Linked DNA regions of Caenorhabditis elegans. The protein of the gene in region 3 purifies or fractionates together with the protein of the main gene of each other region. This does not show direct contact. Each region holds a gene or a part of one and is shown on either strand. Other genes may lie near its edges.

Region 1 (7,676 bases), on a different chromosome or scaffold from region 3:
ACCACAGTTTTGGTACCATCTTGATTCAAAAATGAAAGACCCTCAACATCAACTGATTTCTCAATAATGTTTATTCCAACACGAATAGCTCCCGGTTTCACAAATTTACTGAATTGAGCCATTACATGCCAAATTGGTTGTTTGTAGTACTCTTGAGCAGTTGCATTCACGATTATTGTTGAATCGACAAAGTTTTTGGCAAGATTTGGTCCTCCTGGAAAATAAATATTAGAAAACTGTTTCAACCTAGTTATATCAAAGATTTAAAATTCTAAATCTGTTTCTTACTATGGTTTTTGATGTTTTTAAATTAAAAAATCGCAAGTGTTGCTACACTTCACAAACCAACCTTGTAAATCAAGAATATAATTCCAATCAACCCATCCTCCAACCCAATTTCCCATATCTTTAATCAAATCATTTGCATATTGTTCAGCTCTAGACCATGATCCCAATTTTGGTCCATCTGCTGGGAAGTATCCAGCACATGCTTCAGTTGCCAAAAGGAAATAGTCTGGGAACTTCTCGTGAGTTTCAGTGAGTACGGTTGCTGGGTCAATGAAGTCTTCATACCAATGAATTGCAATTCCGTGGACGTATTGAGCAGCAGTTGGATCCGTTAAAATCTAAAATTTTATTTTAAAAGAGTGGGGACGTCGGAATGGGATATGATTTTTAATCAAGGGTTAAAAATTCAAATAGGTAAATTCTGCGGATAACTCTTCCCAAGGCCAAAGAAAGATTGATGGCAATAATAATTTTCTTATATTTATTTTGAATGTAAAACAGCACAAAGTTTGATTATTTTATGTTTTTCCCTACTGTTGCATAACTGTTTCAACAAAACGACAACTCACCACATTTGGCCAATTTGGCAAAATAATTTCCTGATTATCATTCATCATAATCTTCAAATTCTAACAATTAGTCAATAAATACTTCATTACACTTTGTTTCATAATTTACCAAAGACTACGGAAAGCTCAAAAATACCTCAATTTTGATTCCCAAAAACAGTACTTTTGTTTCGACTGTTTTGTTTATAATTTCTATATATATATTTATTTTGAATGTGAAACAGTACAATTTTTGAATATCTGATATGTTTCAATGTTTCAACAAATCCATTTTAGCATTACGTTTCTTATCAGTTTTGCACATTTTGTCGTTCGATTTTAATTTTTTCTAAAACAATTTACACAACTGTTGAACTATTCGGTCAATTCAGTAATAATTGTAGGTGAAAGCGAGTTTTAAAATTAAAATAACCGTTCTAGTGTCTTGATTCGAAAAAAATTCGAAAATACTTAATTACAATGGAGTCTTAATAGTGTTAAAAAACGGTAAGTACCTAATAGAAAACAAAAAAATAAACAAAGGAAAGAGCTATAAAAGTTTTGAAAATTTTCAATAAATAAAAGAGGTTTTGTTTCTCGTATTGGATTACTGTTTTGTTTATAATTTTAATATATTTATTTTGAATGTGAAACAGTATCTAATTAATTTTTAGTCATTCAATCATTTCTACCTATTACTCAATGTTTTATCCCACCAATAACTTACTACATTTGGCCAGTGTGGCAAATTAATTCTCTGATCATCATTAATCATAATCTTCAAATTCTTAGTCACTGGTGATGAAGCAAGTGCTGGTCCCAAAAGTTTCTTTATAAAATTTCGTTCCATTGATGCATCGAAAAAGAGTGTTTGCCATTTCCAAAGTGGATCAATTCCAGTTGTTGGCTCGTTTTGTGGTGTCAAAGACCAAAAGTCAATACCTTGAGCGTGATAGGCTTCGAAGAATCTTTCATTTTATAATTTTATTTTTTATTTCTTTGAAAATAAGAACTTACTTTACAAAGTACTGTGCCCATGTCTGATAGTATTTTCCATTCTGATCTCCCAATAGCTCTCCGGCACCAACCATTCTTCCAGAAGTTTTCATCCATCCTGGGGAGCTCCATGGAGTTGCAAATAGCTTTAATTTCCCTCCAGAAGCTGTCATTGCCTTCTTGATAAATGGAATTTTATACTGGAGATCTTCCACTGTTAAATTGAAATTTTTGAGATCAAAATCAAATTTAACGTCGTCATAACTGTACTCGTGAGTTGAAAAGTCAGTTGAAGCCATTGGAACTCGTCCAAAAACATACCCGAGACCTAAATTATTTATTTTTCAAGCTTAATCTTTTGAAAATAACTTACCATCATCGGAAAAGTATTGCTGAATAATTTGATCTTGCATTGTCTGTGGCAGCATCTTCATATTAATTCCAGCAGCATCAGTGAATGCAGCTCCAAATCCCATTACCGGTTGAAAACTTTGAGTTGTGTTCACATATACTTTTGTTTTGGCTACAAAAACGATGTATCATATCAACAATTGTTACAAAATAATTGTGAAACAGTAGAATAATTTTTTGCCAACTTCAAAATAAAAAAATATCATTCTCTAAATTCTAATATTATAAAGGTTTTTGTGTTAGTTGAGCGGTGCCTGCCTCTCTATCTAAGAGCCTGCCTACCGCCTATTTTGCATCAGTTTCGAACCAGAAGTTACTGATAAGCTTCCGGTGTATTCTGGAGGCAGGCAGACAGGAATGCAGGCAAGAATTCTGTGCCTTCATGGAACTTCCTATACAATTAACGTACCTGTAGAAGAAGTTGTATGCTTCAATTCACTTCTGTTCATTCTTTTTCCATTTCTTGATGTTGTATAGACAACTGCTTTCCCAGAAGTAACAGTTCCAAGTGGTTCAATTGTATCACAATACGTGGCATTGCAACGACAAACTATTCCATACTCTTTCTTCACTTCGGAGCAAGGAAGGGACTCTGGAAATTGGCTTCAGTTGTGTTTAGTTAGTTGGAATGGTTTTGGAAATTGTGCAGGACTACGTGTTTAGAAAATGTCTAAAGCTATTTCCAGTTCTGTAAATTGTGGTTATGAAAATTTTTACCATACGAAATACATATTTCAAATTTTACATTTCATAAATAAATTTGTTGAAACGGAATTTTTTAAAACTGTTTTATCCATGTTTTGCCTGCACATTGCAAGCAATGAATACAATACATTAATTACCGTATTTCTTCTATTAGTCTTGCATATGCAATTATGAAAAAGCTTTTTTTAAAGCATTTTTTCTAAAAAAGTTTCTAAAATAATTTTTTTACAGTCTGCTGCCCATTTAGATTAAAGGATACGAAAATTAATTTTGAAGAAAAATAGTTACGATTAGAAAAATATTAAATTTTGCATTTAGCAGATTGAAACTGAGTTATTTTCCTAAAAAAAATTATAACTGTTATCTGTTATCTATTAATTAAGGTTTGTTAATTGTAAACTCTGATAATTCAAATGTTTGACAATTTGAAAAAATCTGATACATATGTGTATAAGCGTAATGAAATCATTGCTCAAATATTGAAAAAAGATACTATTATCAATTCAATACCAATCCAAAACTCATATTATAACACAGAAACAGTAATTTTTTATTGGGATAACAACAAAAAGTTATGAATTTTTTCTTTTTTTACTTTTTTTTACCTCGGAGCAGTAGAAACTTTTCATGTTGGCAATTATGTTAAGATTGATGTCTACAATGATTTTTGAAATGACAAATTTTTTTTTAAATACCGTTTCACATAATCTTTAGAAGTCTTCAAAAAATATTGTTATCGTTGAATCCAATTTAGATGTAGCAAAACTGACGAATCCGAACTAAGAATTAGGGTCTTAATTTAATCGATTTCTGAGTGCAAAAGTCCAGATTTGTCCGTTTTAGTCACATTTGGTTCGCATTTATTGAAATTTTATAAACGCATTTGAGGACAGTTATATCTAATACATTTTCTTGTTCGCAACAGAATCATAAAAGTGTGGGATTTTAACAGATCATGTTGGAACAGAGTTTTTTTTGTGAAAATAAATATTAAAAAGTTGTAGCTTCAAATGCATTTTTCATGCTCGATATTTGTTTTAATTTGTATTTTTAATTTGTAAAACTTCTGTATCAACTTTCCACAATTTCCACATTTTGTTTAAAAAAAGATTTGTTCGAATTGCACGAATTAAGTAATACAAATACTAACTCAAATATTATACCTCGGAAACGGCAATATTTTTCAATGGGAATTTTTAAATTTTTTTAAATAGAAGTTATTAAATGATTATTGAGAATTCAGTTCCATTGAATTCAGTTCCAGTATTACTGTTTCTCAGTCATGATATGACAATTTGTCATATCATAACTGACTAGGGAGTGCTTTCACTATACGGTGCGATCGAGTAAAAGTAAACGTGTTATGCGATAGCTGGCATCTTAGGCTTTCAGAATCTGTAATTTGTTTCGGCGGAAGACCTCTGTGAGTCTGGAAATTTTCATCTGAAAATGTAGTACTGAAATCAGTTCATTTCCTATGGTTAACAGTGGATTTTGTCTCTGGCGCCAACAGAAGTCTCACCACAATGGTGGAAGGGCGAAATCATCGCTTCGGTGGTCGAGTGGTGAACGCGTTCGCCTCTTGAGCAGAAGTTTGTGGGTTCGGTTCCCACACATGGTTTAAATTTTGGCCTTTTTTATACAAAATTTTTAGAACGGGAAACAAATGTTTAAAACAGTTTTTTGAGGTTTTTACATTACTTTTTTGCTTTTTGATTGAACCACAATTACCCTGGAAACTTTTCAGAAATTTTTATTTTTTTCGAAAATTGCCACTTTTTTCTCCCATGAGAAAATTGGTTCCAAAAATTTTGTTTGAAATTTTTTCAAAAATGTATGAAATATTGTAGAGTGTCACGAATAACTTATTTTTCATTGTTTTCAATGACCGAATCACTGATTCTGATGCCGTATCAAGACGTTTTACCAAATCGATATTGGCAAAACATCTTGTTTTTGAGGCTCCATATCTCTGCAGAAAAAAATCGCACTAAAAGTGATCAACTAGAAACTTGTTAAACACAATGTGATCTAAAACTTTTCAGTTGAACACTTTTTTGTAAAAAATTTGGTTGCCAGGTTGGAACCAATTGATTTGAGCGTCATTATTTTTGAATATTCTAAATAGTTAAAGGTCTATATCTTGGGAACCAAATTTTTTACAAAAAAGTGTTCAACTGAAAAGTTTTAGATCACATTGTGTTTAACAAGTTTCTAGTTGATCACTTTTTAGTGCGATTTTTTCTGCAGAGATATGGAGCCTCAAAAACAAGATGTTTTGCCAATATCGATTTGGTAAAACGTCTTGATACGGCATCAGAATCAGTGATTCGGTCATTGAAAACAATGAAAAATAAGTTATTCGTGACACTCTACAATATTTCATACATTTTTGAAAAAATTTCAAACAAAATTTTTGGAACCAATTTTCTCATGGGAGAAAAAAGTGGCAATTTTCGAAAAAAATAAAAATTTCTGAAAAGTTTCCAGGGTAATTGTGGTTCAATCAAAAAGCAAAAAAGTAATGTAAAAACCTCAAAAAACTGTTTTAAACATTTGTTTCCCGTTCTAAAAATTTTGTATAAAAGAACCCAAAATTTAAACCATGTGTGGGAACCGAACCGACAAACTTCTGCTCAAGAGGCGAACGCGTTCACCACTCGACCACCGAAGCGATGATTTCGCCCTTCCACCATTGTGGTGAGACTTCTGTTGGCGCCAGAGACAAAATCCACTGTTAACCATAGGAAATGAACTGATTTCAGTACTACATTTTCAGATGAAAATTTCCAGACTCACAGAGGTCTTCCGCCGAAACAAATTACAGATTCTGAAAGCCTAAGATGCCAGCTATCGCATAACACGTTTACTTTTACTCGATCGCACCGTATAGTGAAAGCACTCCCTAGTGAGAAACAGTAATATTTTTTTAGAACTTTTCTAAACACTTCCAGGCACTTCTACTACTCACTTGCATCGCTTGAAAATCCATAAAACGCCAGAAATATTAGCAAAGAAACGGATATATTCAAAATCATGATAGCCTAGTCTAGTGTATTCCGTTAAAACCGGACACTTTCCAAGACTACTAATGAATAAATGATAAGAACAATATTTGAAGACACTGACCACGTTTTTATAAAGACTAATCAGTTGGAATATTCTGATCAAAAAATAATTGAAACTGATAAGAAATTATGGAAAAAAGAAGGGAAAACACATAAATTATTGGTTTCAGGCTGCTAACTATGCAGGACATATATAGATAATGACGGGGGCAATGGACAAATCATGGTATGATAAAGTTCGTGGTATGAGCGTGAGTGAGCTACATGTTGTCACCTATAGTGATCTGAAAACAATAAAGAAATTGGAACTTTAACATATTATTAGCAGGTTCAAAAAATTTTACCGTTTCAGTGTTTAAATTTAATTACGTGGGAAAAATTAATGTAATAACACTCTCATGGTATGCTTTTTACTGTCGTTTCATAAAAAAAAAACTTGCACAATTTAATGAGATTTCAATTATAGAAGAAGTACGAGTTGGAACGAACCGTTTTGATGCTTCTGTAAATTTTATTATTTTTTGAAAACTTTGTTAAAAGGCTTTTTTTTTATTTTGAACATTTATTTCATGCAAAATGAACTAATCAGTTAGGGAAAATTTTAAACCATTAGAAAAATAATAAATTTTTTATTAAGAAATCAAGGAAGCTCGACAAAACTGCTCTTCCTGGTTGGAGCGACAGTAGTTGGAATTTGAACGATGTCTTCACTTTTCTGAAAGTTTAAATTTTGCTGTAATTTTAGTGTTATTTAAATAATTTGAAAACTAAAATTTCAACTGAACCATAATAGTTCAGCATTTTGGTTCAAATCAGCAAGCAATTGTTTTAGTCACTTGAAAAAATTACTGTTTCACAAGTTTTACTTGATTTTCAAATTTCATTAGAAAATTGATCTCATCCTATAAAGCAATTTCAATGCACACGAACATTCTTACGGGTTGCTGCAGTTGGCATGATGACGTCACCGAGTTTTGGAGCACTTGGAACAGCTTTCGATTTTGAGCTAGTTTCTCCGGCTTTGAACTCGGTTCCGCTGAAAAAAATTGTTTTAAAAATAGCCAATATATAGATGAAGTCTGCTTTAAGATTTTTCGATTCAACTTTTTTTCTAAAAATGTGTAATGAATCTTTATATATTTTTTTCTTTTTTTCTTTGGAATCTATTTAAAAATTCTTGTAAGTATTTCGTACCTAAAATTTTCGTATTTCCTATTTCAAAAAAGTTTCACAAAAAAAAGTAACTTACTCTCCCTTCCACTCGTTACACTCATCAAACTGGCAGCAACAAAAAGTGGAATCTTTGGTTTGGAAATGGCATCCGGTCATCTAAAATTGATATAAATTGTCTGATGCTCAGAAAAAAATGAACCAACCGGACATTTCTCCTCCATACTGTGCTCATCGCTCCACGAACTGCATTCACGTCTGCAAAATTATTATTATTCTTGGGCGTAATGTTAAGCATGTAATGTTAAACAATTAAATTGAATGAGTTTTAAAGAACATGTGAAACAGAAAAATTTTTATTATTTGAGTTAAAGGAAATCAAGAAAAATTTCATTGTTTCTGTTTTACTGTTTCTGATTAGAAATTAAGAATTCACTTTAATTTTGTTTTACTATTAATAAGCTTGGATCTCAGAGAGATTTTTTAAAAG
Region 2 (6,431 bases), on a different chromosome or scaffold from region 3:
GGAATCGTTGCCATACAGTCAAGAAATCAGAGACCAAAAGAATACAACTTCAAATGTTTGAAAAATGAAAACATTATTCGTCCGAAAGTCACAAGTGGAGTGGCTGTGGAGCTATGATACGTGTGATAGTAAGTTGTAAAACGGAAGTTTACACATTCTTTATTGATATTCTGATAAAGTAATTTCGTTTTATCATTCTGATTCAAAAAATCAGACTGATCAAATTAAACCTACTAATCGGAAAAGTGTGGCTGCCGCTGCTGCGCACATGTACTTGGTAGTCTGGGCAACAATAAGGAAAACGGCAAAGTTGGTTTTATTGAACGAAAAAAAGTGCAGACTAGATACGTATGTATATGACAGATGCTATTTTTTCTTTGTATAAGATCAAAGGAGCAAATTCTCTTCACTGATTCTTTGGTTGAGAGAAAAACATTATTATAAAAAAAAGCTGAGTGGCACTGAACGAAAATACTTCTTGATGGATTTTTACCTCTAGTAAAAGACAGAGAAGATAAACAAAAATGGAAATACGACAAAGCTTGAAAAAATATTTACTCGGTTCAAATAGACTTCTATGTATTATGACGGAATGATTTTTCACAACTGAGACTTAGAATGTATACAAAATTATGAACTTATGTGTATTCTCACATATGAGAAAAGCAAAACTAATAGATTATTGAATATCTGCGAGAGGGCTCAAATTATTTGAGAATCGAAGAAAGCATGTACATCTCATTTCGCATTGCGACAGCTTCATACTGCAAAAAGTCAATACATAATGAATCAAATTGTCATCCATTAGGTTACCTTGACAGCGAGCATTGCATCCAGCAACGCACTATCATCCTTCTCGTCAATAGCAACTGGGAATTCAAGGTTTGGAGTGAAACGGAAGAAAGCCATTCCCATGGCTTCAGCCATCCAACGAGCCCGTTCGACGGTTACTCCATCAGCTGCTGTGAGCTGAAAGTGTGGAAAAATGAAAGGTGACAATATAATTAGATGTTTTCCCCGAAAAGGTTGTTAATCCATTCTAGAAAGAAAAAATATTGGAAATAGAAAACAAAATTAACAAAAAATTAAGAAATAACAGTTCCGGTTTATCGAGTGTAAGTCATATACACTCATGTTTTGAACGAAGCTTTAGATTTACGAAGAAAACTTGTCAAATTAGTCCATGTAACTATTTTAGCACCGAAATCACACTTCAAACTAGAATTTGAAACAACCATTTTTGGTTCAAACTAATAAGTCAAAACTCTTTTCAGGATGCGTTTTCAATATGAGAATAAATTGAGATGTTTTCAAGAAACATTCACGTTCGTTGCTAATTATGAAAGGCACCGGTGATTAAAATTAACGTAGTTGGGCTTTTCTGCTATTGAGTTGCCTAATAGTGAGCACACAAACTTTTTGACAACTTTGATTGAATTACATTGACAGACTTATTGATCTGCGCAAAACTTCAAACTTTATTGGCCATTTTTATCTGAAAAGAATTGCTTGCAACTCACCTGCTCAATAAAGACGTCTTTTAAGTGAAGAATCTGGTTGAACGTGTTCACAATTCCACCCATTGTTGTTGGCTTCATCAAGTCAACATTCTCAATTTTCTTTTGCATCGACCCAGTTCCAATTGAAACCATGATCTTTGACACATTACGCTCGTTTCTCTCATATTCCAGGCGTTGACAATCAGTAAGAATGTCAACAGCTGGATTATTAGCGATTAGTCCTCCGTCCATAAACTTTCCATCAACAGGTGGGAAGAATGATGGCGCCGCTCTGAAAAATACGAATCAAAAAGTGCATTTCTGTCCAGCTGTGACTCACGAAGAAGCCCTAACAACTTTTGCAGCTGCCCAGACAGGCTTCATGCCAGCTTGATCAAATGACGGGTCTCTGATGTTATAACTGCGGAACATGTAGAGTAGCGGAGGGCTGATATCGACTCGAGCAACCGGGATACTGATGCGAATACCATTCTTCTCACCGAGTTGCTGGAGCGTATCTCTTCCAAATTCATTTAGAAGAGCATTTTCCAGACCTTCGCCAGAGTATGGTCTGGATCCAATGAAAATATCATCCTGAAAAAATAAGATATTGCAACTAGCACCTGATCTTCCATATCATAATCGCTTTTCTCAATGTTCATTTTCCTACTTTCATTCTGAAATATTGTCTGATGACATGGTCAATATTTCCGTACTTGACCAATCCAAGAGTGATCATTGATCCAGTTGATGTTCCACCGATATGATTGAACCAGCGCAAGAATTTATTTCCAACAACCTTTTCGATCTCCTTCAAAAGCTGAAGAGCCAGAATTCCTTTCATACCACCTCCGTCAATAGACAAAATGACTGAATCTTTCTTGGTCAATGGCGGGAAGTTTTGGCAACGACGATGAGAAGGGTTTTCTGAAAGACGCAGAATGTTATAAAGCGAATAGAAACATATCAAAGTTACCCAGATTGTATTTAATATTTTTCTCTTTTCCTTCTTCAAGTGCTTTGAAGTGTTTTTGCAGAACTTCTGCACATTTACGTCTGGAATTTAGTGCAGCTTTCAAAATTCGGTCGGTGGAATGTCCATCAAACGCCAGAAATGCTTTTACAATATCGACGTCATCTCTTTCAAGAGCATAATCCATTGGAGACATTCCTTTGTTATCAAGCATATTAACATTCGCGCCGTGCGACCAAAGAAGTATGATTGTGCTTAGGTTTCCATTTTTTGCTGAAAAAGTTACGAGTTGCCATTTAAATGTAGTTCAGTTTACCTATATAATGCATTGGTGTGAGTCCGTTCAAATCTTGAGCGTTTATCATTTCAGCTTTGGCAAAACTGAGCATCAACTTTTGGTGCTGGAAATTTGATTAATAAAAACAATATAGTCATTTCAACAAACATCTTTCACGAAATTGTCAAATGTGTGAAACACATTCTTCGAGTTCAAAAGTCTCCCCAAAAAGTCCGAGTCTTGCACGTAGAGAATTCTCAGCACTCTGAAAAACGGTACTAATAAGATAGATACAATCAATGTGGCAACTTACGATTCAAGATCTCTCAGTGAAAATGATGATTTGTTGAGAACATCTGCCGGTGACAATAAGCAATGTGGCAAGTTATTTTTGATTGAGTATTCTGAATATGTTGATAAAGAAAATGTTGTAATTTTTGGTATTCACCTAGAATTTTCTCAAAAGATCGCGGGTAATCGGGAGTTTCGGGCTTGGGATGAGTTTCTGCGGTTATGATCATTTTGTCGCATACTTCTCCGGTAACATGACTGTTGATGTACTGCAAAAATATATTGTTTTCCAAATTTGTTCTTACATTGAAGCATTTTTTTTTTCAAAATATAGAATCGGAAAAACTTGTATACAAATTGAAGCTGCAAAAATCATCCAGCAAAATGATCCGGAGCACAGTTTTCATCTGTACGGATTTTAATTTTTCAGTGAGTCCCACCCATATGCAAGCTTTTTTCGTCAGACTTAACCAATTTCTATAGTTTTCATTTATTGATATAACGCCTATTAATGTCTATTAAGGCATTTGTTTTGTAATTTTCAGCAAAATCCCCCCAAGACACATTTTTCCACCTCGTATCTTTTATTTTAATAAATATTCACCTTTACAATTTCTGGACGATGACGTGCAACTTGCAAAATTGTCTGACCATTATGATTCATTGTCAATGGATCGAAATATTTGTCCCAGACCATTTGAAGTAAACTAAGAGATGCAAATCGAGCGGCAACATGAACGGGAGTATCACCTCTTCTATTTAGTTTTGACATTGAGAAGCTGAAACGGTTCAGTTTTTGTTAACTCAATAAAACTTGATTTGACAGTAACCTACCCATCTCCTTCTTTCTTTTTCTCCTCCTTAACATAATTTGAAAATCCAGAAAAAATCGCAAAATATACTGCTGAGCACTCGGATTGTAATTCCTTTTCTCTCAGCATAACCGGTACCAAATCATTAATGACGTTGATAGGATTGTTCAGATGTGTGATGGATTCGTCAAATTCTTTCCACAAATATTCCAGATCGTCAATGTAAGATGCATTCTTATTGAAATAAACAACCTGGAAAGTTTCTACGTGTATTTTTAATGTTATTTCAGCTTACATAGTTGTTTGGTGTGTAGACAAGTGCATATCCATCACCATATGTAGCTTGTGAAAAGTTCGTAGAAAGCTTTGAGTTGATAGAAAATTTCAAGGTTTTATCCACAGGTCCCGGCCACTGAAAATTGTGCAAATAAATAGGTAAAGGTTTTTAATAATTTAAAAAACCATAATCTGGGAGCACATTTTTGACACATTAAAAAAACATCGTTTTCCTCATCGTTGTGTGGTAGTTTTTTAAACAAAAATTTATAAAAAACTATAGAAAAAATATTTTTTAAATTTATTTTTAGAAAGTGCATGCTCAAGTTTTTTTTTCAATTTTTCATAAACTCAAAATGTTCAAAACTCACCATCGATTGTGCCTGTGGATTGCTGGCTTGAGACGTTGAACCAGCTGCTTTATGTTGAGCATCCGCGTATTCTTTGATTTTATCCTCCACGTTTTGTCGGACTGTGTTCATCGCCATCTGGCCGACGTCACTTTTGGCAAGTTTCATGAAAAAATCCATCTGAAATAACTGTGTTCATAGAAATATGATGTGAAACATGGAACAAACTGGAAATGGAATATAACAACAACAATTAGCATAGGTGTCGTCAAATGTGGTGTCAGGTCCGCATGTACACTTTTGCGGACTTGAGTGCACTATACCACTTCAGATGAGAGGTTTCCGTTTCCTTTTGGTTTTTCTCTAAACAATACAAAAAACGTGTTGAATTTCTAGTAAGAATTCGTTTTTTTTTCTTTTAAACTATTTGTGAATAATTAATGCGTTCTCTGCGGACATTGTTTTCCCGCCCTCACCCTTTGCCCAGACAGTGCATGTGTTCTTATCGATTTGTACAGCTGTTACTTTTTTCGATTTGTTTTTTTTTCTAAATAGAAATGACTTTCAAGTTTTACTGTTGTATTTTGCAGCAAAACTTACAATAAAAAACTATTGACTAATACCCAAAAGTTTCCCACCCAATTCGATGCAATCCATTTAAAAGCCCCCACTTAAATGATAGAAAAGTTACCAGCATCTCGAACAAATCCGGTTTCCGATAGATTCGCTCGATCGTCCATTAACTCAATCCGTGCACTTTTCCCCCTCAGTTCATCCCCATGAACTTTGATCTAAAACTGTTGTTGGTTTGTTTTCAATTCAATTGCTTATTTGGAACCATTTTAAAACTGGGCAAAGAGTCCGTTTTTGCGATCAGAAGATTGTCCTCTTTTTATGGTTTTAGAACTCTCATTAAACGTCAACTTGTGACCTTTCGGAACGTAATTTCGAATGCATGTCTCCTAGTGTTTCCGTTTTTGTTCAATTGCCAAATATCCTTTGTGCCATCCTTTTTCTTTTTACCACTTTGATAGATAACAAATGAAAGACAAAGTTATAAAAGTTGAAAATAATATAATATTTCAAACCTAACAAGATTAATTGGTTAAAAATCTGTTACTTATTTTCGGAATATATCCGTTCCTTTCCTTCATCCACTTTATCAAAGGAATGTGTGTAATCTTTGAAAGTATGCTCCAAAACACTCATTACTCACACACTCTTGTCTCATAAACGTGGTCCCGTTGCTAGATGGTGCCGGCGATGATACAAGAGAGAGAAAGAGACTACAAACGGGAGTGCGTGTGAGACAGCCTAGCTAAATCTACCAATCCTACATTTGACCTTTGCCACGAACCAAGATGGCGTAAGTTGCAGAGGCCTGCACCGTCGATCGTCGAATGTTTACATAACCTATTCATAGAGTTGGTTTTAGATATTCGACTTTTTTATCCCTAGAAACATTTTTGTCGACGCATCATGTAAACTTTGTTTATTAAGTATTACCATATTTTCCCTTTCAGACATGCACCTCCCCCCCCCCCCCCCCCCATTTCTCTACTTTGGCGGCTTTTTTAAGTTTTATTTTTTGAAAAAGTAGAAATTGTTCCCCTCGATAGACTCAAAATGGCCTTAAAACCCAATTTATGAGGAATTTTTCAAAAAAATGTCTAAAAGTTTTACATTAGTCCCCTTTTTTGAAGCTAATTCTGCATGTTTTGGTAAATATTTTTCAGTTCAGTTGATAGAATACTAAATTTGGATAACTATCGATTAGCTATGTACTGAGAATGTACTGAAATATACAGAAAACTTTGGCATAAACAGCCTAAGTACTCAAGAAGTGGTGATAATTGAACGAAAACAATCTACATGCTTCTGCAATAGGTACAAGTTGGTAAGATTCGAACTCACTAATTTACTGTCTATTTCAACTTATCTTCAATTGCGCAC
Region 3 (3,663 bases):
AACACATAAGGTGAAAGTTTTAACGTGTCAGAAAAGTTTCAGATTTTTAAAGCGTTTAACTTTCGAGAAATTAAGGCTACACAACATTTTTTTTCTAGGCTACACAACCTTTTTGCATTTGACTCTCGGCGCATATGTTTCAATTAGTGGCTAAAAGTTGAAAAAAAGTTTAAAAAGAAAAAGATAACTTACCGCTCCAACAGTGATATTAATCGAATGCTTGTGACATTGTTCTTGCTTCGAGCACGGACATTCACTTCCAGTCGAGTTTTTCCTTGCCGGCGTAGAAGCTCCAGAATTTTGCTTCGAGTGTGGATGCTCTCCGTGATGATGATGGTGGTGCCCAATATGAAATAGATCTTTGAAATGAGCAGTCAATCCGTGATGCTTCTTTTCTTTTAATGAGGATCCCGACCCGGACACATCACTGTGATTGGAATGTGTGTCGCCGTCGTTTTCAACAACCGGTGGCAAATGCTTTTTACCAGAATGTTTTCCAAAGTACAACGAATGTCCATGATGTTCCTTATGGTGATGTTCTTCTGGTTTATGGCTTCCAGATGTACCTTCTTCAGATCCTTCCTCAAAGTTTCCAGTTGACCTTGACGCTTTAAAATCTGGAGTGTGCTGAAATCCAGAAAACTCCGAAACCAGCTCAGCTATGACGTGAGGGACTTTCATTTGAGAATGATTCTGAAAATCATATAAATAAAAAAAAAAAAATAAAACATTTAAAAAAATAGAAAAAAAATCGAAGAAGTGTGGAATACCGTTCAAAACCGCTAGCGCATGACTATGTTATATAGAATACCGTCTTATCGTTCTTTGTGTCACCAAATCCCGCCCATTTGGGGTCCTTGCTTCTTTGGTTTCGATGGCGGGAGGAGGGTTTGAGAAGATATATAGTATGGGTACTTTCGTTCATTGAACGTTTCAATCTGACCGGAGTGTTTTGAGTACGTGCTAATTCAAATTATAATTTGGGACTTGTTTTGACTAATTCGTTGATCACTGATATTTGTTTAAGGCAGAGTACATTTTTTCATGTTTTCATTAAATTACCTGAAATTAACCTTACAATTAGGTTGTTAGGCATTTAAGAATCCCAGTAGTTGTTTTTTTTTTGCATAGAAAATATATACATTTTGAATAAAAAAATATTGACAAGTTGAAAGAAAAACGAAGACCCTGAATGAAAATTCTGAATGCAATTCTGTCCTTTAAGATCCCGGTTTTTTTCAACTTTATCATCATCAAAATTTTTCTCCCATCGTTTCAAGAATCTTATCCAAAAAATGAACTGTGAATTTTGTTTTTTGGAGCCTTATTCACTCCCGTTCAGCCATAGTCTCTTCATTTTTCAACCCTTCTAACTGGCTGCGTCTCGCATTTCACCACTCTCTCAGCTATTATCGAGAGCAGCCACGAGGTCGGAATGTGCGTTCTTTGATGAGCAGATAAGTGTATAAAAGTGAGTTCATTTTAACAAACGTGAACTTTATTTCTCATCATGATCAAAAATCTACGCATTTTCCTATTATATTTTCGCAATTTCTAAACAAAGACTTCTTCATTTCTTAATTAATTCAGAATAAAATGGCAAACATAATTCCGAAGATTGCAATTATCGGCGAAGGAGTCATTGGATGTACTTCAGCACTTCAAATATCAAAAGCTATACCAAATGCGAAAATAACTGTGCTCCACGATAAACCATTTAAAAAATCGTGCAGTGCAGGACCAGCAGGATTATTTAGAATCGATTATGAGGAGAATACGTGAGGTTCTTTGATAAATAAATAAAAAAAATTCTGAAAAAATTGGAATAACATAACAAACAGATAACCAAACTTGCTTGATTATCCTATTTTTTATAGTCCTATTTTTTTCAAATTAAAAACTAATTACAAAAAAAATATTAAATCCTAGAAAAGTGTTGCCACGGGCCAAAAATGCTATTAATAGCTTTAGAATAAATAATTTTATTACCAAAATATTTTTTTTAACGTAATATTTTTAGTGAATACGGACGTGCTTCTTTCGCCTGGTTCTCACATCTCTATCGCACTACAAAAGGATCCGAAACCGGCGTGAAATTAGTTTCTGGACATATTCAATCCGACAACTTGGAGTCATTGAAGCAACAACAAAGAGCCTATGGCGATATTGTGTACAACTTTAGATTCTTGGATGATAGAGAACGGCTGGACATTTTTCCCGAACCATCAAAGTGGGCTTCTTAGCGTCACATCTTTTGCTATACTGTGGCTTTCAGGCACTGCATTCACTACACCGCCTACGCATCAGAAGGTAACAAGTACGTGCCTTATTTGAAGAATTTGCTGCTTGAGCAAAAAATCGAGTTCAAGCAACAAGAAGTGACGAGTTTGGACGCAGTAAGTTGGCGACCGAGAAGTCAAAAAACAAGATCACCCCTCCCTTATTTCTGAACCCATACCCATCATAACCTGGAGAGTAATGTCTAACAAATTCATTCTAGGTCGCCGACGCTGGTTACGATGTTATTGTAAACTGCGCAGGCTTGTACGGTGGAAAGTTGGCTGGTGATGACGATACTTGCTACCCCATTAGAGGAGTCATTTTGGAAGTTGATGCACCATGGCACAAGCACTTCAATTATCGAGACTTTACTACTTTCACAATTCCAAAGTGAGTAGAAGCCGATAAATTAATATTATGTGCCAAATCTTTAGAGAGCACAGCGTGGTGGTTGGGTCCACCAAGCAGGACAATCGATGGGATTTGGAGATCACCGACGAGGATAGAAATGATATTTTGAAACGATACATTGCTTTACATCCTGGAATGAGAGTGAGAATTAGTTTTTTTTAAATTTAAGTTGATTGAAAAAGTTGATTTATGATTTAGGAGCCAAAGATTATCAAAGAATGGTCAGCACTTCGCCCGGGACGTAAGCATGTCAGAATTGAAGCGCAGAAGAGGACATCTGTTGGAAACTCAAAAGATTATATGGTAGGTATCACAATTATCTTTTTTTATGTGTTCAAAATGTTGATTTAAGGTTGTGCATCACTATGGTCACGGGAGCAACGGATTCACGTTGGGTTGGGGAACAGCAATTGAAGCAACTAAACTTGTTAAGACTGCACTAGGATTATAAATATTTGTTCAAGGGTTTCAGTAAATTAAGGTTATATTTCAATAGACTCGACGGGTCATAAGAATAATTAAAAAAACAACTAAATTTTTATATGCGTTTCAATTAGTAGATACAACAGCATGCAATCTGATTATGATTTTTGTTTCCATTCAATGATGGAAATATCTAAAAACTTTATGTTGAAAAATTAAACATCGATTTGCAATTCTCCGATTAGAAAAGTCTCAGGAGGTACAATAGACATCACATAGTTAACATTTTTATGCGATATTGCTCCTAGTCGCCTGAATTTTTTTAATTTCTCGTTCATTATTGAACACTCAATTCACCGGGGTGACAACTACTTTACTTTTTCCAAAATACCACATCTCCTTCACTGTTCTTCTGTAATTGGAGGACATTGAGAAATTGATCAAGTGGGACATTGCGTTGAAACAAAATAAAGTTGACATGTATACAGGCGCATAGGTGACAAGTATGATAAGAATCGAACCGAAGTCTATTTCCACGAAAAGTGTGAG
Region 4 (4,024 bases), on a different chromosome or scaffold from region 3:
GTTTTTTTGGAAATATCGGAAGACGATGAAATAAAAGAGCAATTGACAGATGGTCGCTGCTGCCGGGCTCCCCAAGTTATCGAGATTTATCTAAATTTTTTGCAGAATTTTTTTAGGAAAGTGATGGTGGAGGGGAGAGTTTTTAGAAATTACATGAAAGTTGCCGAAGATTATAAATTCGTACACTTGTATACAGGCAATTTGAATTTCCCGCTAAAAATGTTCTCAAAAATATGAACTTCAGTCAAAAAAATTGCTGAAAATAGGAGCGTGTTTCAGCGCGCAATACGCAATTCAGGTGCACCTAAAACTGTTTTTCAAAATTGGAGAAAAACTTAGAAATACATTTAAAAAATTACAGTCAACACAATATTCTGGCATTTCGAAAAAAAAAGCTGCCAAATTTTCCAAATTCACAGGCAGGCAGGCAGGCGTGTTAACGCTTACATGGAAGCCCTACAAAAACAATGAATTTTCTTTGCGACTATAGTATACTGTAATTAATTAAATGCTCTTCTCTTAAAAAAACGAACTATAAGTAAGCTAAACTCTAATTGCTTTTAGTTATAAAACACTCCTTATTTCTCAATTTATGACTGAGACTCTCTCCTTCTTCTCCAATTTGAGGTACAAGACAAAATTGATGATGGCTCATAAAGTGTATGTATACTACTTCGATATGCTCCACCGATCTCCTCCTCATTTCATGATTAGTGTCTGTGTGTCTGTGTCCTTGGACACCATTTAGAGCAGCAGTAGGAGCAGCAGATGATGATAGATGACTACGCGGGAAACAACAGGCGTCTTAACTCTCAAGTACTGTGATTTGCATAAAAGTTCGCCGGGCAGCAGCAATGAATTATGTGTTGTGCGGGGGCAGAGGGTTTATGAAATTTATAAAACACATATGCTACATGTTGAGGGGGTTTTGCCACGTGGCAGGGCGGGAAACCAAGAAATTTGAACTTCTTCGACAAAAAATCTCCTCTTGAATCAAACCTGTTTTTTAATGCGAAAAAAAAACGAAAAAAAACCAGTCTTATTACAGGAACACGAAATTCTGAGAATGCGTATTGCACAAAATATCTCGTAGCGAAAACTACAGTAATTTCTTTAAATGACTACTGTAGAGCTTGTGTCGAATTACGGGCTCGATTTTTGAATAGTGACTTTAGAATTGTTTTCTCTTTTTTTTTGATTGATTTTATTATTTCATCTACATATAAATAAATTCTATTAATTCATTTCGAAAATGGAGACCTTAAATCGAAACTACAGTAGTCTTTAAATAATTACTGTAGTTTTTGCTGCGAGATATTTTGCGCGTCAAATGTTGCGCAATAATACGCATTCTCAGAATTTTGTGTTCCCGTAATAAGTATTTGAGTAAAATTAAATGAACATAAAATTTAAGAGCATGACATTTCATGAAAAAGGGTTTTTTTCACGAAAACTAATGGGGAAAACATTTTCAGAGTGAAACAAGCATAATTGATTGACTCCGAGCTCGGATCCGAGGTTATTGCATTTGCATTTCACACTTTTTCGATGGAAAATATTTTTTTTTCGAATATTGATGCAGATTTCCAGATTTTCGCTGAAAATTCATTTTCCATTTCGGTTTCAGGTCACTTTTTGCACGCGGTTCTTGAATTTTAACTCATTTTTCCACGAGAATTTCATTTTTTAAACAATAATCATTGATTTCTTGAACTTTTGCCGCGCGGCCAGCATCGCTTCGTATCGTGTAATTCCCCTCAAAAATCACGACAAACAAATGTTCAGTGTGGGTTCGCAACGGAGCGCACATGCTGACACCTCCCTTTTTCGTCTTTTTCCATCGGCGCCGCAGCATTTATCGACCCGTTTTTGTGCAGTTTCTTGTTTTTAATGCATTTTTTGTTTCAAAATTTTGAAAATAATTATTTTAAAACAATATAGTTGTCTTTGCAGCATGGCTTCGTGTAATCTGACAGCGTCAAACGTTGCGATCGGCGCCTGCGTCGAAATCGAGACGACGAATGGCTTGAGCGCCCGGGGAGTGGTAATTTCGTTCGACACGACTCGCAAGGTAAGAGAATTATCGATTTATTGAATTATTTATTAACCAAAAGCCAAAGTTTCAGGTTTTGGTTCTCGACACCAAGGAAATGGCGATTAACAAGCCAATGATTCGCATTTTCAACTCGGAGCACTTGAAAAATGTGAGTTTTTTCTGGCAAAAATCGGTACTTTGATATTAATAATTAATATTAATTTCAGATAAAAGTGTTAAGTGAAGCTCTCGAGGAAAGCGAGAAATTCGCGCGCGCCAAAACCGAGCAATTCGCCCAGAACAATCCGGTAAACGGTACACGGACCACCGAACGGCTCGACAAAACTCTCGGCGAGCTCACACCGAATCTAATGAAATCACCAGCAATATCGATTCGTGGACAACAAGCCTATCTGCAATTGAAGCGCACAATTCCGGATACATGTTGGTGTGGCGAGGATATCCGTGTGCTCGGGCTCGTGTTGGTTCACAAGCCCTACGAGGTGTCCGACGTGACAAAAGATGCAAAAGCGACAGGATTCGATGAATCGCGTGCCGAAAGTGCCGTACTTCAAGTTCAGAAAATTCTCTCAAAACCAATGACCGAGTATACGGCACGTGCTCCGCTTGATTTCACTATTGGAGCTATTGTGGCCAACTAGTTATCGATTTTTTCCCATTTTTGTATATTTTTTGTCCTAAGGCTGATGGGTTTAAAGAAAAGAGTGGGGAAAATCAAGAAAATCTCTATTTAAACCCATAAAAAGTAACATTTCGAGAATTTAAACTCGAAAATTAATTAATTCTGTGAAAATCGACAAAATTCCGTTTTGAATCGATTTTATTCAGGATTTTTTTAAAATTTAATCTTCAAACTTGAATTAACTGAATTTGAAGCCGATTTAAAAAAAAATCTCGAATTCTTCTATTGAAAATTTCAACGATTTTTAATAATTAAAATTCAAAAAAAAAATCTGATTAAAAAAAAACTTCGTGAAAATCTATTTAATTCTGAAAAATTCGATATTTTTCTTCATTTTTTCTGTGATTCCCGATAATTTCCAATCGTCTTCGAGAAAATGTAATTTTAATCGATTTAATCGACTTAAAAAATTTTCAAAACAAGAAAAAAATCAAGAAAACGTCGTTTTTCAACAAATTAGGTCGAAAATGTTGTATTTTCTCCGTTTTTAATTCAAAAAAAAAATCGATTTTCTTGCTATTTCCCCCTAAAAATCGATTTTTCGAATAAAAATTCATCAGCCGCGGGTCTCGTTTTTCAGGTATCTCTGTCCCTTTCAATATATATATATATATTTTCTCTTCCAAATCAACCAATTCTTCATTGCATTTGAACCTTTTCTCAGCATTTTTCTCCTTTTTTTTTTTTAGTTTTTTTAAATTTGAAATTGCCCCCCGTCCTCAATTATTTATTAAATTCCGCCCTAAAATATAATATATATTTAATTTTTTTCGTAGTTTTTTCTGTTTTTTCTGTGAAAGAATGGGTTAAATTACCATTTTATATCTTTTTTAAATCATTATTTTCTAAAATTGCTCGTTAAAAATTCTGAAATGGCAGTTTGAAAGCATTAAAAATCGATTTTTAAGCTAATTTTCGATTTCTGTGAATTTTTATTTCAAAAAAATCTGAATTTACGAATTTTTGAGCTATTTTTCACATTTTTGCATTCGAAAAAACACGAAAAATTGCCCAAATATTACAGGAATTCCAAAAAAAAAATTAAATAAAGAAATACCGGTTATTTGCTAAATTTAAATTTATTTTTAAAAATAAAAATTGATTTTTTTAAAGAAAAACTGGTTTAGAGAATCTGGTTTAGAGAGCTTTTTCAATAAAAAAATTATTATAAATTTTTTCAACAAAAAAAATTAATTTTAAAGCCGATTTGTTTGAAATTTCAATTTAAAAAAGTGATTTTTAAGCTATTTTTAACATTTTTGCAATCAAAATATCCTAAAAATCGC

What was found.
Region 1: the proteins of ddo-2 (region 3) and gba-4 fractionate together in Caenorhabditis elegans (co-fractionation; one large-scale study listed by BioGRID). This does not show direct contact.
Region 2: the proteins of ddo-2 (region 3) and C45B2.6 fractionate together in Caenorhabditis elegans (co-fractionation; one large-scale study listed by BioGRID). This does not show direct contact.
Region 4: the proteins of ddo-2 (region 3) and M142.5 fractionate together in Caenorhabditis elegans (co-fractionation; one large-scale study listed by BioGRID). This does not show direct contact.

Annotation. Positions count from the first base shown.
Region 1 is NC_003282.8:5,344,853-5,352,528, forward strand, and holds the start of gba-4 (Putative glucosylceramidase 4), read right to left. Parts: upstream 6,046-7,676; 5' UTR 5,987-6,045; coding exon 5,920-5,986; intron 4,570-5,919; exon of another isoform or gene 4,497-4,569; intron 4,078-4,496; exon of another isoform or gene 4,057-4,077; intron 3,870-4,056; exon of another isoform or gene 3,849-3,869; intron 3,710-3,848; exon of another isoform or gene 3,689-3,709; intron 3,444-3,688; exon of another isoform or gene 3,423-3,443; intron 2,969-3,422; exon of another isoform or gene 2,948-2,968; intron 2,836-2,947; coding exon 2,653-2,835; intron 2,365-2,652; exon of another isoform or gene 2,356-2,364; coding exon 2,206-2,355; intron 2,161-2,205; coding exon 1,854-2,160; intron 1,805-1,853; coding exon 1,564-1,804; intron 1,447-1,563; exon of another isoform or gene 1,423-1,446; intron 1,032-1,422; exon of another isoform or gene 1,011-1,031; intron 747-1,010; exon of another isoform or gene 722-746; intron 627-721; coding exon 350-626; intron 303-349; exon of another isoform or gene 282-302; intron 215-281; coding exon 1-214. Other genes in the region: Y4C6B.7 (Activin_recp domain-containing protein), read right to left, coding at 6,657-6,731, 6,947-7,052, 7,266-7,345, 7,393-7,444. UniProt on the Caenorhabditis elegans protein: Glucosylceramidase that catalyzes the hydrolysis of glucosylceramides into free ceramides and glucose. C.elegans contains specific sphingoid bases, which are unique or different in structure compared to the sphingoid bases found in other animals.
Region 2 is NC_003284.9:6,051,285-6,057,715, reverse strand, and holds C45B2.6 (phospholipase A2), read right to left. Parts: upstream 4,659-6,431; 5' UTR 4,617-4,658; coding exon 4,500-4,616; intron 4,265-4,499; coding exon 4,148-4,264; intron 4,105-4,147; coding exon 3,875-4,104; intron 3,820-3,874; coding exon 3,645-3,819; intron 3,310-3,644; coding exon 3,198-3,309; intron 3,154-3,197; coding exon 3,063-3,153; intron 3,015-3,062; coding exon 2,918-3,014; intron 2,874-2,917; coding exon 2,789-2,873; intron 2,746-2,788; coding exon 2,476-2,745; intron 2,427-2,475; coding exon 2,170-2,426; intron 2,094-2,169; coding exon 1,840-2,093; intron 1,792-1,839; coding exon 1,521-1,791; intron 970-1,520; coding exon 814-969; intron 765-813; coding exon 708-764; 3' UTR 543-707; downstream 1-542.
Region 3 is NC_003283.11:7,432,960-7,436,622, reverse strand, and holds ddo-2 (D-aspartate oxidase 2), read left to right. Parts: upstream 1-1,590; 5' UTR 1,591-1,596; coding exon 1,597-1,778; exon of another isoform or gene 1,779-1,783; intron 1,784-2,020; coding exon 2,021-2,230; intron 2,231-2,275; coding exon 2,276-2,396; intron 2,397-2,500; coding exon 2,501-2,670; intron 2,671-2,714; coding exon 2,715-2,832; intron 2,833-2,889; coding exon 2,890-2,994; intron 2,995-3,043; coding exon 3,044-3,142; 3' UTR 3,143-3,156; downstream 3,157-3,663. Other genes in the region: F25E5.8 (S39A8 protein), read right to left, coding at 193-681. UniProt on the Caenorhabditis elegans protein: Selectively catalyzes the oxidative deamination of acidic amino acids. May play a role in the egg-laying events and early development of the worm, in addition to quality control of the germ cells.
Region 4 is NC_003281.10:10,929,255-10,933,278, forward strand, and holds M142.5 (AD domain-containing protein), read left to right. Parts: upstream 1-1,946; 5' UTR 1,947-1,954; coding exon 1,955-2,071; intron 2,072-2,120; coding exon 2,121-2,204; intron 2,205-2,262; coding exon 2,263-2,697; 3' UTR 2,698-3,507; downstream 3,508-4,024.